Linked DNA regions of Coturnix japonica. The protein of the gene in region 2 interacts with the protein of the main gene of each other region in a pairwise test. Links are inferred from orthologs where the notes say so. Each region holds a gene or a part of one and is shown on either strand. Other genes may lie near its edges.

Region 1 (3,516 bases), on a different chromosome or scaffold from region 2:
CTGCAGCAGTGCAAGTGTCTATTTAACAACTGTCAAACAGAGGACAGGATCAGAGAAGAAACAATCAAGGACCTCAGGAAGCCTGCAGGGTTTCACATAAACACTTGCTGACTGGAAGCAAGCAAGATAACAAGAAGAGAGGGAGAAATAGGAAGAGAAAAAAAAGAAAGGGGAAAAAAAACCAGAACAAAAAACATTTAAAAAAAAAAAAAAGGACCAAACATTAAAACTATGATATCATCCATGTAGAGAGCACGAGAACTATGAAGTAAAAATCTCAGTATGCAGGCAATCACTTGAGCTCCAACGCTGATACTTTTGCTTTGATGTTTGGGACAGAGGGAGCTCTGATCAAGTTCAGGCAGCAGCACAAAGAGCATCAGTCAACAAGCAATACAGGAGGTTTTGTTCAACTAGGATTACACAGGGAACTTAAATAGAAGGCAGCCCAAAATCTGGGTAATTCCAGTTACACAAAATAATTGGGATTTTTTTTTCCTTTGATTGAGATGCCTAGAAAGAGTAAAGAGCTAGAACCACTACCTGCTCACTTGTATTGTATGATGTTCTTCTCTAACGCAGACTCAAAGAGAATGTGAAGACTGATTCACCAGCCACAAGAACGAAAATGACTTGAAACATCCAGATCCAATTATGGATCACGTTGTTCCTTCATCTTACAGCAACCAGTGACTTGTTTTAAAAAAAAAAAACAACGAAGGGTACCAAATGCTAAAAGCAATTCAAAAAGAGCCTCTTCCCATCAGGATCTTCTCTTTCAAGCTGAACTGAAGCTCACCACAGCACTATGTCAAATAAAATGACTTGATACGTGCATATAACAGACATGAAATAAATACAAATTTGCAAAGCAGCTCAGTACTTCTGGCATTACAACCTATAGCTCGTAAAATTCAGGATCTCTGAGGGCTTAAAATGCGCAACAAAGTACCAAGAGGAAAAACAATCATCAGGGTCCTTCTTTCCCCAGTAGATATAATACATAGCCAGAAAAGGTGTTAAGCAATTAGGCTTTATTGCTTTAGATCAGAAGCCACTGAGATGAGAACTCGAAGTAGGATGGGCTAGAACAGCAGGCACTGTTTGAACCTGGGTAAGGAAGCATGATTTGAGAAAGCATGGAGGAAGGTAGTGAATGAATGGTCAGACGAAGGCGAAAGGTCTCCTAACAGTTTAAGACACCTATGATGGCCATGTAGACAAGATGAACTCTTTGCAGGGAGGCCAATGAGGATGATGTTACAATATTCAAAATGCAAGGTAAGTATCTGAAGAGACAGTTCTATCTTTCTCTTATGGTGGAAAAAAATAAATAGGAAAACAGCATTAACTACCATTTACCAGCTAGGAGAAGGTTGAGAACAATGCTAAAAACAAGCAAAAAGAAAACCCGTGTCAGATGTCAGCTGAATGTATCTACTATACGTTCATGATCACTTGAGCCTGAGCTGTACACTGTAGAAGTATCTCCACTATTAAAACAGTTTATTCCACCATCAGACAATTATTATCATTAAACAAACTGTGTGTCTTCAGTTCTCTCCTTTAATACTATTCTACTGACTAAACCCACATAAATACAAAGTAATAAGTAATAAATACAAAATCCTAATATCCTCCTGAACAGCACTGAGAAACATGTTTTATACAACGCCTTAATTCCTCTTTACTACTTCCATGAATAGGTCATTCCCCGGCATACTTGTTCTACACAGCGAGGCTGAGTAGAAACTGTATTTTCACTGAAAAGAAAAAGACACCACCAGAAAAAAATAACCCACCAAGAAAACCCACTTAGCAAACAGAAACAGCAGTGACAATCGCCAACACATTTCTAAACAGGTGACAATCATCAACATCATCTCAACAACATGATATTCAGTGTAAAATTTCTCCTCCCGTTTCCACAAAGTCCAAATACAGTTTCTGTGAAAGACGTGAATTACGTGAGTCTCAGGAAGCATTAATTTGAGTGTTGTCATTAACAATCCTATTAGTCATTATTTTCGTACACTGAATGTAGGAGAGATCATCAAGCTCAAGAAGTGCTAATGAACAGGACTAAAGAAGCAAGTGGAAGAAAGGAAATGGAGACTGACATATGGAGACTGACATATGGAGAGTGAAGACAGGAGAAGAGCAGAACAGAAAAGGAGTGTGTGAAACACTGAAAAAGGAACTAGCTCAAGGAAACCTTTGGACTTATCTCCCAGATGGATTAGTATGCTGCCTTTGCTGAAGCTTACTAACTGCCCTCTTAATTTTAGACATAAGATCAGAATATCGCTTGCACGATTAATCAAATTGCTGAACACCACCACTACTTACGACAGGACTCGCCGTTCGGGCCCAAACTCTGCTTCATAGTAGCCATCTCTGCAGTCTTTTCCGACTAGATCATGAGGGTGTGGCTTGTAGGGTTCATTCTTCGTTACCAATGTAGTTCTAATTTTGACTTTTCCAAAATAGTTCAGAATCTACAAGAATAAGAGAGATTTTCTCAACTTCAGATATCAGGACTAGCAAAGTCCAAGCACATAACAGAAAATACATTTAATCCTAAAATACTGTACGGAAGAAACACCACAAGTAAGGAATTGTAATATTGCCTCATAAAAGAAAAGCCAAGACCATTTCAGTTCTTCATTGGAAATTAAAACAGCTTGTAATGTTGTAAGACCAAAAGAGGACGTATTTCACACCAAGTGTTACAACGTGAGATGCAAAATTCTACCTAGGCAACTGTACACAAATGTTTATTTAAAGAGCGTTCCAGCTCCAAAGATGTTTAGGAAAAAGCTCCTAGAACCTCAGGGATAATCCCTGTGAATGGAACACAAAGGAGGCAGTGAGGATCTCATAAAATACAGCATGACATAAGCCCCTGCCAAGCCTTTCTCTTTAATCTGAAGATGAGTACCCAGTTTCACATTCAGTAAGAGGGGCACTGCGTTCTCCAGCCCCACTAGCGCCTTCAAAGAAGTCAGGCTCTGTGCACATCTCTCAGGCACTCAAGTCTTCCTTCATACTGACAACTATCAGTGAAGCCAGCAAGGTTTGAGTGGGAGTCTAAAAAACAGTTTGACCTAAGATGTTTGAAGTATAACAACTTGAAAACGCTTGCAAGGCTTGCACCAGCACAGGTTGTACAAAGGTGTGGTCTCCACCTCCACTTCCTTCATCCTGTAACTGTTCTTCTTCCTTCAGCCCTTTCTTACCTCTTCCAAGATACTCCATGGATCCATCACACGCTTCTCAATCAGCACCTCAACCTTTCACTTGACTTATGCTCTAACTTCCATCATCTCTCAGTTTCTTCAGTTTCCAATCCAGCTGTCAGTATTCATACACACTACTTACCCTTAAATAAAACTCCAACCGCTCTTTCAGCTTCTTAAATACTGCATTATTTCTCCCTCATTATATACCTAGCCCCTTAAATGTGAAGACCCCTAGCAGCAAATCAACACCAAAGCCTCGTACAGGCTCCAGGGA
Region 2 (4,131 bases):
GTAGCCAACAGCTTAACATTACCAAACTGCAAAATTGTCTGTCTCTACAAAAGATGTGGCTGTTGCAGCTTGGGCATTGGAAACTGCTGACAAGCTCGGTTCTAAGCTACTGTCTGGCTGTTGCATGCCAGACAATGCTTGTCAATTCATACAAGCAGTCATCAGCAGTAATCCTAAACCAAGTAATGCACCCGTGTGTTTATTGATCAGTCAGTTATAAAGAAGACTGATTCACACACTTTCTCTTCCTAAGGGAGGATAAACAGATATAAAACAGATATGAAAGTCCTAAGTTGGATGACTTCAACGACAAAGTGCATTTATCTAAAATGATCAATAATTTACTTACAGAAGTACACTGTGGGCCATGAGTGAAACAGGGGTGCTGTACAACCCCCAGCTCCATGGTGGTACTCTTCCAAGTCACAGACTCCTTTGGTAGTTGAAGAGAGCTTTTCCATTTTCAGCTGTATTTTTGTCTGGAAACAATGAACACATAAAGCTAATGAGTACCTCGGGAATGTTAAGCCATGATAGTCTTCAGCATTTTTTAAACACTTTCTGAAGACTTTAGTTAGTCTTAGCATTTCTAATTCACTTTTTTTTTTAACTCCAGATAGGACTCAAAACTGGAACTTATATAGAGAATTAATGATTTACCCTAAAATTTCAGGTGCTGCAGATAATTACTGATTCTGATTTTGCATAAAAAGGGAAGCACCCAAATAACTCTTGCTTTTTCCCACAGAACACAATCTGAGGAAAATCTAAGTGCTCCTGCTTATTCTAAATACTGGTCTGGTAGCCTGTCTGTATAAAATCCTATCTATTATCTTTTTAATGATCCTCCGAAACAGCTAAAGGCTGTAAAAGTCTAATGTCGCTGAAATGTGACATTAATTCCTGACAATTTATCCAGAAAAGTGGGCAGAATAATTATCTTTCTCTGCTCCTCATAGAAAGTATGAGCTCTGCACAGAAAGTAGAAGTAGGCAGACTGGAAGTGTAATTGCATGAGGGCTGAGCAAAGCTGCAATGGATATCATGGCAGATAAAGCATTACTGTACTTTAAGTTGGTGTTTACTTTGTTCTAAACAGGGGATATTTGGGATAAGAAAACAAACATCAGTGAGTGCGTTTTTAGAATGGATTATTATATGACTTGTTTTCAGAGGATCACATTATAAGTAACATTAGAAGTGGAGAGTAGAATTATGAGCAGAAGCTAGATATATATAAACAGCTTTCAAACCTATCAAGAAAGCAAACAAATGGAGCATGCTGGATTTACATCATAAAGGTCTAAAGGCAATGAAGTATGAATGAACATCCCTGATTTTAAGCTTGCAACAGATCCTTAACATCATGTTCTTATGTTGTACTTGAAAACTCTTGATATTGCTTCTAGGACTGAAAAAGGAATGTTACCATTTTTTTTAAGGTCTCCAGTAATTCTGTGCAGCAATTGTCCAGTTCTTTGTTGTACTTTGGAGACGGCTTTTCAGATTCTGTGGTACTGTTATCACAGGTTATCTCCAGTTTGTTATCTTGAAATCTAAAACAGAAACATAAGGCAGGCATACAGGTTTACTCAAGCTGTGCAGACTTAAAGTCCGTGTGATCTGATCCCACAGAATCTCTCAGAGGCTGCTCATGAGAATTCCTACATAAAACCAGAAAGGAACGCAGCTAACCATATCAGCAATAAAGGCTGGTAACCTTCAGAAGAACGTGGGGTGTCTCTATGTTACAGTCTGTGCTCATAAAAAACCCAAAACACTCACAAACGTTAAGATAAAACCTTTTCCCACTTTACGTTGTCCCTGACAAGGGGGAATGTATGCCAGGCTTCAACCGGCCCAGCCAGGCCTGATGCCTCCCCACAGCCACTTTCACTGTCAGTTTGATCTAAGATTTAACTATGAACCAGAGCAGCTACTGAGCAGGCATGTGTCTTGTCTTGCTGATTCTCCCACTTCTTGCCTTTCATTCCTGTAAACATTGACAGAGAAGAGGGAGGTGCTAGAGAGAGAAAGCAACATCTGACACCTCCACAGCAAAATATTCCCGAGCCTTATGTGATAGAACTGTCAAACAAACTCTGTTCACCTGACAGACTCTTCAGAAGCTACTTCTCAAAACCCTGCCTGTTGTAAGGTTTTTCTTCACAGCATGATAACACTATTCTACCACAATTATTTTATTGTTTTGGGTTTGTTTTGTTGTTTTTGTTTTTTTTTTCCCAAATCATCACTGCTATAGCTTCTTCTGTCCACATAAAACTCCAAAAAATCGTTATTGTGAAGAGAACAGAGTAATTCCTCAGAAAGGCAATCCTCATGCTGTCTTCACTTGTATATGTTATTAGCGTACTTACTGCTCACTGATCTTCATGTTGACTATTTTGTTTGCAGTAGTAAACCCATTATCATTCAGTCTCTCCCATTTCATCATCAAGTTATGCCAGTCTGCTGCATTATCTTTAATTTTTCTTGCACTGGCAGATAGGACAGGTCTTCTCGGAGTACCATCAGCAAGACTTCCTGCTATGTACGACAAAAACAGCAAGTTCAGTGAAAACATAGAGAAACAAGTCATTGTGGCTGAGATAAAGGCTCGGCCATCCCGCTCCGGCTCCATGCAGGCGTTGCCTACAGCACCGGCCCGCTCCTCACTCACCCGCCATAGCGGCGCCCGCGGAAGTGCGCTCACGTCCGGCCCCGCCCAGGCCCGGCCCCGCCGAGCCGCTGAGGCAGCGGGGCAGCCGCCGGTGCGTGGGGGTCCGGGTGTTGTTGCGTCCTCTCTCTCCCGTCCGTCGGCAGCCATGACCGCCCTCGGCTCTTGACGCGGTAAGAGCTGCCGCGTCTCCGTGCAGCCTCCGTCCTCGGCGGTCTGTAGCCGCGGTGGAGCGGCCGACAGCGATGGTGCGGCCGGGAAAGCTTCTCCGCCTCCTGCTGCTGCTTGTGGGGAGGAACGCGGAGGAGCGCCGGATGGAAGCTGGTTTCCAGGGGAGGAGGATGCGGTGGGCGCTATGCCGGGCTGAGGGAACTCGGGGCTCGGAGGTGAAAGTTCGCACCTGTGTGTGTGTGGGCTGCAGCCTGGGTCGGCCTTTCCGCAGTCCCTGTCGGAATTCTTTCTTGTTTGTTTGTTTTTACCCTCTGCTTTGTGAAAAGACGCCCAAAATGCAGCGTTTCGTGGGTAGCTCGGAGCCGCTCGTGCGTTAATTTGGGGGTAACTACCTGAAAACGTGAGAAGAGTTGGGAAATAAAAAGCGTTTGTAGCTGGCAGGATGTGGCCGAGGTCAGAATTTGTCCCTCTCCAAAGGGCCTGAACGTAAGGATTTATTCCCATGGAAGAGCTGAACAACAGAGCTGTGCAGGGAGGATGCCTGGGTAAGAAAAGCAGCGACAGCTTTGGCCTCTTGTGCTGAGTCTGTGACATACGCTGGAGCTGGAGCCAACGGAGCGTCTGTCTGAGCACAGGATTATCCCCCACATTGGCCGTCCCTGTGCTGAGCCCTCTGCAAGGAGTTCAGCTCTGCAGCAACAGCTCTGCTTTCCAAATACTTCATTTAACACGATTCCTAAGTGCTGTCTGCGAGTTGTAAAGGGAGGACTCTGATCTGGTGTTCCATGGGCAGCATCAGGTGTTGCCTGCAATCCTTAGTGCTTGTTCCAAGTGGCTGCTGACACCTGTCTGCAGGGACAGCCCTCTGCTCGCCTTTGGTTAACAAAGATTAAATAGGGTCCTAATGATAAATAGAAGACTATATGTGATGTGTGAGTGTAATTAGAAATTGAAGACCGTGCAGGAAAATGATTGCGTTTACACAAAGTGCCAGAGCATCTTAGTATGGTGAGGGACTGATATCAGCTGAAAAGAGGAGTTAAAGAAACAAACACGGAGCTCATGAAGCAGTAACTGGGGAGTTTATGGCAGTTTATGTTAGAGGAAGTTTTGTGTGGGGGGGACTCTGCACCAAGTTTGGGTTTCAGTTAGGAATAACAGTCAAGCAGGAGGCATTAAAATTGCATAACCAGCAAAGCAGTGTGGATAGGGGAGCAAGCAGGAGACTTCAGCTGTAGGTGTTGTTGGTGTTTAGTTGGCTGTATGGATAGAAGGTAGAAAAT
Region 3 (3,516 bases), on a different chromosome or scaffold from region 2:
GCTGCCTGGTGAGATCCCAGGCACTTCAGATCAAAGCTGACTGAGCCACTTGTTTGTTCATGTGCTACCCATGGCAGACAGAAACATCTCTTTCATATGCAGAAGTACATACACCAAAAGGTATGCAGCCAGGACACTGTGTAAGAACTGAGCATGGATCATCTAGAAGTGGTTTTTCTCATGATTTCTCTGAAGTGCTTTCCTCATAAAAAGGAATAATTGTGGTTCTGCCATCTTCAAGAACAGCAGTATTACTGCCAAATAGGCAGACACAGGAGAGCATTGCTACAAAGTAATCAAATGTTATATCAGGATATAGAAAAGGTGCTAAAAGTAACAAAAAGCAGCAACAAGAACTCTTATTGCACAAAGCACAGCTTTCTTTAGTATCCCAGGAAGGCATTTAAAGGCTTGGAAGGCTTTGATGTCTGTTTGGATAATATGAATATTCTCTTTTAGCTCAATGCAAACTGGCCCAAAATCCAATGTTCTGTCAGTATTTCTGAAGCTTGTATGTTGCAGTGATGTTAGTAGATAAAAAATCACCTTTATCCTCGCATACTCCAACATCCCTACAATTTTAACAGCATTTCAAAATAATTATAACCAATTTGGTGCCACTATTTCCTTGTACTATGTAACCTCAACCAAGATGAAGCCGTACCAACTTCCTTGTGAGAACGTTCTCTCCTTAAGTCTCAGAAGATGCATTTGTTTTTCACAGGCTCACACAACACTCTCGCCCACAACAGAAGTAAAAGTTTTCCTTACTTTTGAACCAAGATCAAACTTGAATTTGCTGCTGTCTTCCTCAATGATGTCTGTGTGCTCCATTCCCCCCGTATTCATTGCGCTGTAAAGCACAGAGGTGACTTTCAGCAGTTCTCTCACCGCGTAGCCATCTGCCTGGTAAAGCTTCTTGGTGTTGAGCTTTATGTGGGCCTTGGTAGCCTTTGCAAAGAAAGAAACCATCATGCCACAAAAAACAACAAAATCTCCATCCACCCCTTCTTACTTCACTCAGAAGCTCACACTGGAGGCGCTGCTGTCTGCTTTAAACAGATAAAACTTCCTGTTTGGAAAGAGATTTGCTTAACCACATTGCTGTCATTTCTAAAGAAACCTTCCTGAGATGCGTGTACTTTCTGTATGTCAGAACATTTGCAGATAATTGCCAGAATGAAAAAACTCAAACTATTCATTAATTCTTCCCCATGTGAAGATCAGCAAAACCCCTGTGCACCACTTAAATTCAAATTAAGTTTAAGTGGAATGTAAGTGCTGCCCAGGTCTTGTGATGATGCTGCAGAGAAGTAAATTTCACCCTTAATGAGTTACAAGAATAAGATCAATTATCCTAATTTATCTGCCTTCTCCTCCAGCAGTAGCTTCAGAGTATTTTATTGTTTCTCAAATTATTCCCTGTTATAATATTACTGACTTCATCCTCTTGCCTTCCATCTCTGAAAGGAAAAAACACATTAGAAATTACAATATCTTCTTTTTATACTTCAAAATAGCAAAGGAGAAAAGCAAGCATCATCAAAACCACACATTTGTCACAGAATGGACATGAGTGTAGTTCTCGCATCCCCTGCCAGGTGGCTGAACCTAGTTCATGCAAACCACAGAGCTGAAAGGAGGCCCTGGAGCCTCCAGAACAGGTTATGGATGTTGTACACTCTGATCAGGGCCACTATGAGACTTGCAGTACAAAAACCCTTAATCGCTTTTGAAAATGTTGTCTGCCACGACCTCAGCTGAACCAACATTCAAGATGGAAAGCCAAACACGTCCTCTTTCCCTCTCTTTCAGTAAGAAAGGAACTAAAAAAAAACCTGAATCATGGAAACAGCAGGAATAAAATTTCAAGAGAAGTATGTCATTAAATGTTAAACATCCACTACACAAAGAAAACCAACACAACACACCACGAAGGATGTGGTTAAAGGCAGGAATTCCAATTGCAGCTCCATTCACCCTCAAGAGAGAAAAATCAATGCCAGGCAAAAAGAAAAAAAAATGTATTTCACTCAAAGACAATTTAGGAAAAAAAGAGGCAAAAGCCACATACAACTACACGTGTTTCCCAGATTGGCATAATGGCGCTGCTTGTTCAGGCTGGTAACCTCACATCTGGAAAGCCTGAGGTGCAGCCACCTACCTTACAGCAACTCTAAGTGGTGGTAAAAGATTTGCTCTGAGAAAAGTATGCCTGAATTGAATAAGTGAGAAGGCACGCAAAGCAGAATGCTGAAGTATGATTCAATATCATAATGAAAACATCCATCAGAGTTTATAACCACTGAAGCATACAACTAAATCTGGCATCCAAAGTCATCTGTAAATAAGCAAGAATCTCCTCTGCATCTATTTTAAATAGATTCACTATATCTTTCACTCTCATCTTTTCCTTCCACTCAAAGTATAAAGTGATAAAGATGAATACTGTTTTAGCATTAGATGTGTAGTTCCCAATTTTATAAAGCCAGATGCAACAGCACAAGATCTCAGTAAGAACACAGCCTGCTCTGTGCAAGCTTAGGGTCACTACTACAGCAGGACCCCACAGGGCCTTGTTTTGGAGCCATGCAAATACAAACCTAAGAGAGCACCAAGCCCCAAACAGCCTTTGAATCAAGTAGGAATATTCCTACTCTACCTACTCCTACGACTTAAATGAAACCACACACGGGATTAGGGATGGAGTTTTATCACCTCTATCACTGCAATAACTGAAGCTTTACTATTAGTAAGTTCTAAAATAAAGTTCCCTCTCCCTTCCTTTTCATCTTCTTATTATTTTTTTCTTTTTCTTTTTAATCCTGAGCAGAATACGTTGGTCAGTTTTACAACCTGAACGCAATTACTTTGGAGAGAAAACAATGCTGCCTGCAGTGTGACATACATCACAAGAATACAATACAGCTCAGCCACCCCTCACAAGGAAACTATGAGGGATTAAGAGGGAAATCATTCAAGCTAACATGGAACAAGCATTTCAGTGTGAAATAAGCAGACGTACCATGAACTGAGCCACAGCCTTAATGAAGAAAACCCGGTCCTGTTCCGTCTCAACATCAGAGGGAATGTCAGACTGAGGCTCATACCTGTGGAAGCACACATAGATTTGGATGAGAAATACACGTGCAGGGTTAAGGAGACACTTCACTTGAGAGGCAAAGTCAGAAAGAAATGGAAAAAAAACCAACACGTATGAGACTGGAAAACAGCTCTTCAGCTCCTAGTGCAGCTGGGACTGCCAAGGCCCCACAGTGCCACACTGGGGCTGTGCCCAAAATGCAAAAGCTGTAAAGTCTGAGATGTTTCTCCAGAAGGAATTGGTCCTTTGGAGCACCACATACATTTTCAATCAGGGTTTTTTGATCAGGATCAAAACGGAGTTGGCAAAATCAAGTCCATGAAACACTTAATAACTTCCTACTTAAATCACAAAGAGCTTACAGAACCCAAACTTAACTCCAATCTCTTTCAAATCATGTTTGCAACTAAAAG
Region 4 (3,516 bases), on a different chromosome or scaffold from region 2:
TGAAAACTTCCAAAGAGAAACCCCAGTTAGAAATGAGAAGCAACTGAAAGTAATTCACTGCTTCATAACACACATCTTGTCAAGCCATTCGAAACACAAGCTCCGCTTACACACCAGAAATAAAGTACGCTGAAAAATACCCACTGTTATGTTTTGCAGGCAGCCTGCACAGTTCATACGTCGGTCCCGTGCATTAGTTGCTAGTGAGCAAAGATCACACTTTCAGGAGTGGCATTTCATACAGAAGAATAAACAAACTTTATATATCATGTACTTATAAATAGAATATGAGAATTATAAACATTATAACATACATTAGAAATAGAATAAGTAAGTAAACCAGGAAGCCTTGTGCTTTCATTCCTTATGCATCTCCCAGCAATTCAAATAACAAAAACCAATCAACCACGTGACTGAAGAAGCTTTCTCACTTCCAAATGACAGCCAAGCAAGGAGCCAGCAGCATCTGCTTCACGTAAGTGCATGATAAGCAGATCTTACTATTGAGCTGGGGTAATTATCACATTCATTAGCAGCCAAGGCAGTGGTGAGATCCTTCACTGCATCCCAAAGGTGAGCTGAGAAACACGACATTCTCCCATAGGTATCACACCTTCTACTGCCACCTGCACAAATTATTTTCAACAGTGAAAACTGCTACACAACTAAGAGCCTGAAGTCACTGTAAAGCTATTACTGACTTACTTTAGTAGCAAGTCCATCGTTGAGTTTTCAGCTAGCTTTACCAGAACTTTCAGGCTTTGCTGCAGGATGCTGCCCGTCTGGGAGCCCCCTGTGGCAGAGAAAGCTAAAACCTGAAGCAGCTTTTTGAACAAAGAATGTTGTGCTTGAACGTCACTAGCAGCATCTTGTGGAGCGTCAGGCAGCCCTCCTTGTGTCCTGTCATCTTCTTTATTATCACACGGTGCTTTTTTGTCCGCCTTGGAAATCTGTTCTTCTCCAACAGCAGAACTTTTTTCCACCTCGTTAGACAGCAATATGTGGACAACGTCCCAGCTATAAAATGCCAAATAATAAAGAATACCTAGTGACAGAACTGTTGTTTCTTCAAGAGACAACCTGAAGTCCTCCTTCCTCGATACATTACTTGGGCTGGTTCTGGAAGAAACAACTGAGTGGTTTCCACAAGAAGCATTTACTGACTTGTCTGCTGATTGTACCGCTTGACAGTATGCACCGATGTGGTGTTCCACCAAGGGCAAGAGATGCACAGCTCCTCGGATCTTGCAGCGTTTCAAATACAAAACCTCACTCCCACTTCCTGCTGGGCTCCCTTCATATGGCTCTTCATCCATAGCGATTAAGTTCAGTCCTGTTAGTGCAAGTTTCTGAGCTTCCTGCAGGGACACGGGAGGAGCAACTTCTTCCTGAGCTGTCCTGGTGCCAGGCATCTGCGTGGACTGCCTACCCAAACAAAAGGAGGAAAATACCTCAGTGAAAGAAAAGGTAGAGAATATAGTTGAAAGTGTAGTTAACCTTTATTAGAAGTTCCCCTAAGCCAACAGGTGCAGGAAAATAGTTCTAAGTTACCATGGTGTTCACCCTCACTTAAAATACAGTGTATAACCTGGGTTCCATGAGCAACTAATTTCTCTCTAAACTATCCTACTGAATTCAGCAACTGTTAGTCAGCCTACAAGCCTAAGGAAATGTTAAATACAAAGCAGAGGACTCTCTACAAAGCAGACATCAAACAAATAACAACAAGGATCTGATGAACAAACATGATCTTTGAGGCCACATTCAAACAGTTAATTTTATATCTGATTTCATATTTAAGGACAGCACTCATTTAGAATTTAGGTTATATATATACACAAATATATCCTTAAAAAGGGCAGCAGTTCATAGTCACTTCTAAGTTTTCCTAATTTCTGTGCCTTCCCCTAATACGTAATTAACCTGCTTTCCATTTTAGTGTTTCTCCTGTGTTCAGTACCTACAATAACCAAAGATGGATGACCAAAATGCAGAAGGATGTTCCGAGTTTTGCCTCAAATGGCCTCAGCCAAAAGGCACTGAACACACGCAGTGAGGTGTCCTGCACAGAACGCCTTTCTCAGAGTATGCCACAATACTGGGAACACATCAGTTGCATTTCAACACAGTCCTTACGTCTCCACAAGGTCGGGCTGCAGCACAGCTCCTGGCAGAGCCTCAGCGTTGCTGCTGAGAAGATGGCAAAGTCCCAGCAGGGACCCAGAGACAAGGGGCTGCTTCAGCAGGGCGCTCAGTAAGGCAGAACCTGGAGAGATTGTCTTTGAAGTGGCTTTTCCATCCCCTGCAACAACAGCAAAGTATTTCAATAGATTTACCTCACCAATAGTGATCTCAACCTCAAAAATCATTTTTTCCCCATCATCAATTTTCCTTTCTCTTACGAGACAGAATACAGGAAGAAAATAATATCTGAAATGCATCGCTTCGTAAAACCTCACAGAACACAATTTAAATGTGAATCAAGGTATATTTAGAGAGATCTCAACTACAGTCCCTTTATAAGCAAGCCATCTCAATCCAAGTGATTATTAAAACACAGTCATCCTGGTGCCTTGACATCCATGTTCCAGTCTGGACATTAAAATCATGTGATACAATTCTGAACTGGAAATAACGTGTTGAACACTAAGTGCTGATGTGCTCTTTTCACTTTTAGAAACAATAAATAGACATTTTCCCTGCTCTCCTCACAACAGACAGCACAGTATCTTAATACAGCCAAGCCTGGTAGAAAGATGCCTCTCGATCTACATCTTGATCCATTTCTGTATTACCAGAAATACATTACCTTGAATGTTTTGTTGGCGTACAGAATTGCAGGAACCATTTTTTCCCATTGCTTCTTGCTTCATGGCTAAGAACTCAGGATGGGGCATCTTACTGTCTAAAACAAAGAGAGAATATGTTTCAAATACGAGAAATAATTGCTTATACATCTGCACCTGTCATCTACACACCTTCAATTAGCCATAGCTGTTGTGAGGTACAAACACAGACGCAGTGTCAAACACTATTGAGTTGAAAAAGTAACTACAGGAACTCTTCTAAGGTTGCTGTTACACGTGGCCCAGACAGTTTCTGATAGAATACTGCAGCCGACAGAAACACCTCAGATGTTCCATTGGTTTGGGTTGGAAGACCTTTAAGATCATCTAGTTCCAACCCTCTGCTACAGGCAGGGACACCTCCTCCCAATTTCTCCCATTCTTTCCTACTGGCAATGTACTGTCTCAACACAGTAATTGGCTGCTATAAAAAGCAGTTTTTATTTCGTATTACAGTAAATGCATACATATGTTTCCCAGGCTTTACTCAATGAATTTGAAGGTACAGTTGTATGAGATTTACCGTTCAACGCAGAAAGGAGGAAACGAGTGAAGCCCTGCAGCTGCTCGTTTAACATGGCTGAACATGCACCATTTAAAATAAAATACCAAAAACAGAGAACGGTTATCAAAACCCAAACCTCAGGAGTATAAAAAACGCATTAGCTGA

The links.
Region 1: the proteins of CINP (region 2) and REL interact in binary tests that used the Homo sapiens proteins (3 or more experiments, as listed by UniProt). The two-hybrid records come from large-scale screens. The link is inferred for Coturnix japonica from reciprocal best matches to the Homo sapiens genes CINP and REL.
Region 3: the proteins of CINP (region 2) and CLUAP1 interact in binary tests that used the Homo sapiens proteins (3 or more experiments, as listed by UniProt). The two-hybrid records come from large-scale screens. The link is inferred for Coturnix japonica from reciprocal best matches to the Homo sapiens genes CINP and CLUAP1.
Region 4: the proteins of CINP (region 2) and ATRIP interact in binary tests that used the Homo sapiens proteins (3 or more experiments, as listed by UniProt). The link is inferred for Coturnix japonica from reciprocal best matches to the Homo sapiens genes CINP and ATRIP.

Annotation. Positions count from the first base shown.
Region 1 is NC_029518.1:5,501,004-5,504,519, forward strand, and holds part of REL (proto-oncogene c-Rel), read right to left. Parts: intron 2,499-3,516; coding exon 2,350-2,498; intron 1-2,349. UniProt on the Homo sapiens protein: Proto-oncogene that may play a role in differentiation and lymphopoiesis.
Region 2 is NC_029520.1:45,118,945-45,123,075, forward strand, and holds the start of CINP (cyclin-dependent kinase 2-interacting protein), read right to left. Parts: upstream 2,806-4,131; 5' UTR 2,688-2,805; coding exon 2,681-2,687; intron 2,548-2,680; coding exon 2,379-2,547; intron 1,557-2,378; coding exon 1,430-1,556; intron 480-1,429; coding exon 350-479; intron 1-349. Other genes in the region: TECPR2 (tectonin beta-propeller repeat-containing protein 2), read left to right, coding at 2,992-3,063. UniProt on the Homo sapiens protein: Component of the DNA replication complex, which interacts with two kinases, CDK2 and CDC7, thereby providing a functional and physical link between CDK2 and CDC7 during firing of the origins of replication.
Region 3 is NC_029529.1:11,274,205-11,277,720, forward strand, and holds part of CLUAP1 (clusterin-associated protein 1), read right to left. Parts: intron 3,111-3,516; coding exon 3,026-3,110; intron 952-3,025; coding exon 772-951; intron 1-771. UniProt on the Homo sapiens protein: Required for cilia biogenesis. Appears to function within the multiple intraflagellar transport complex B (IFT-B). Key regulator of hedgehog signaling.
Region 4 is NC_029527.1:2,064,605-2,068,120, forward strand, and holds part of ATRIP (ATR-interacting protein), read right to left. Parts: intron 2,906-3,516; coding exon 2,810-2,905; intron 2,303-2,809; coding exon 2,137-2,302; intron 1,426-2,136; coding exon 706-1,425; intron 7-705; coding exon 1-6. UniProt on the Homo sapiens protein: Required for checkpoint signaling after DNA damage. Required for ATR expression, possibly by stabilizing the protein.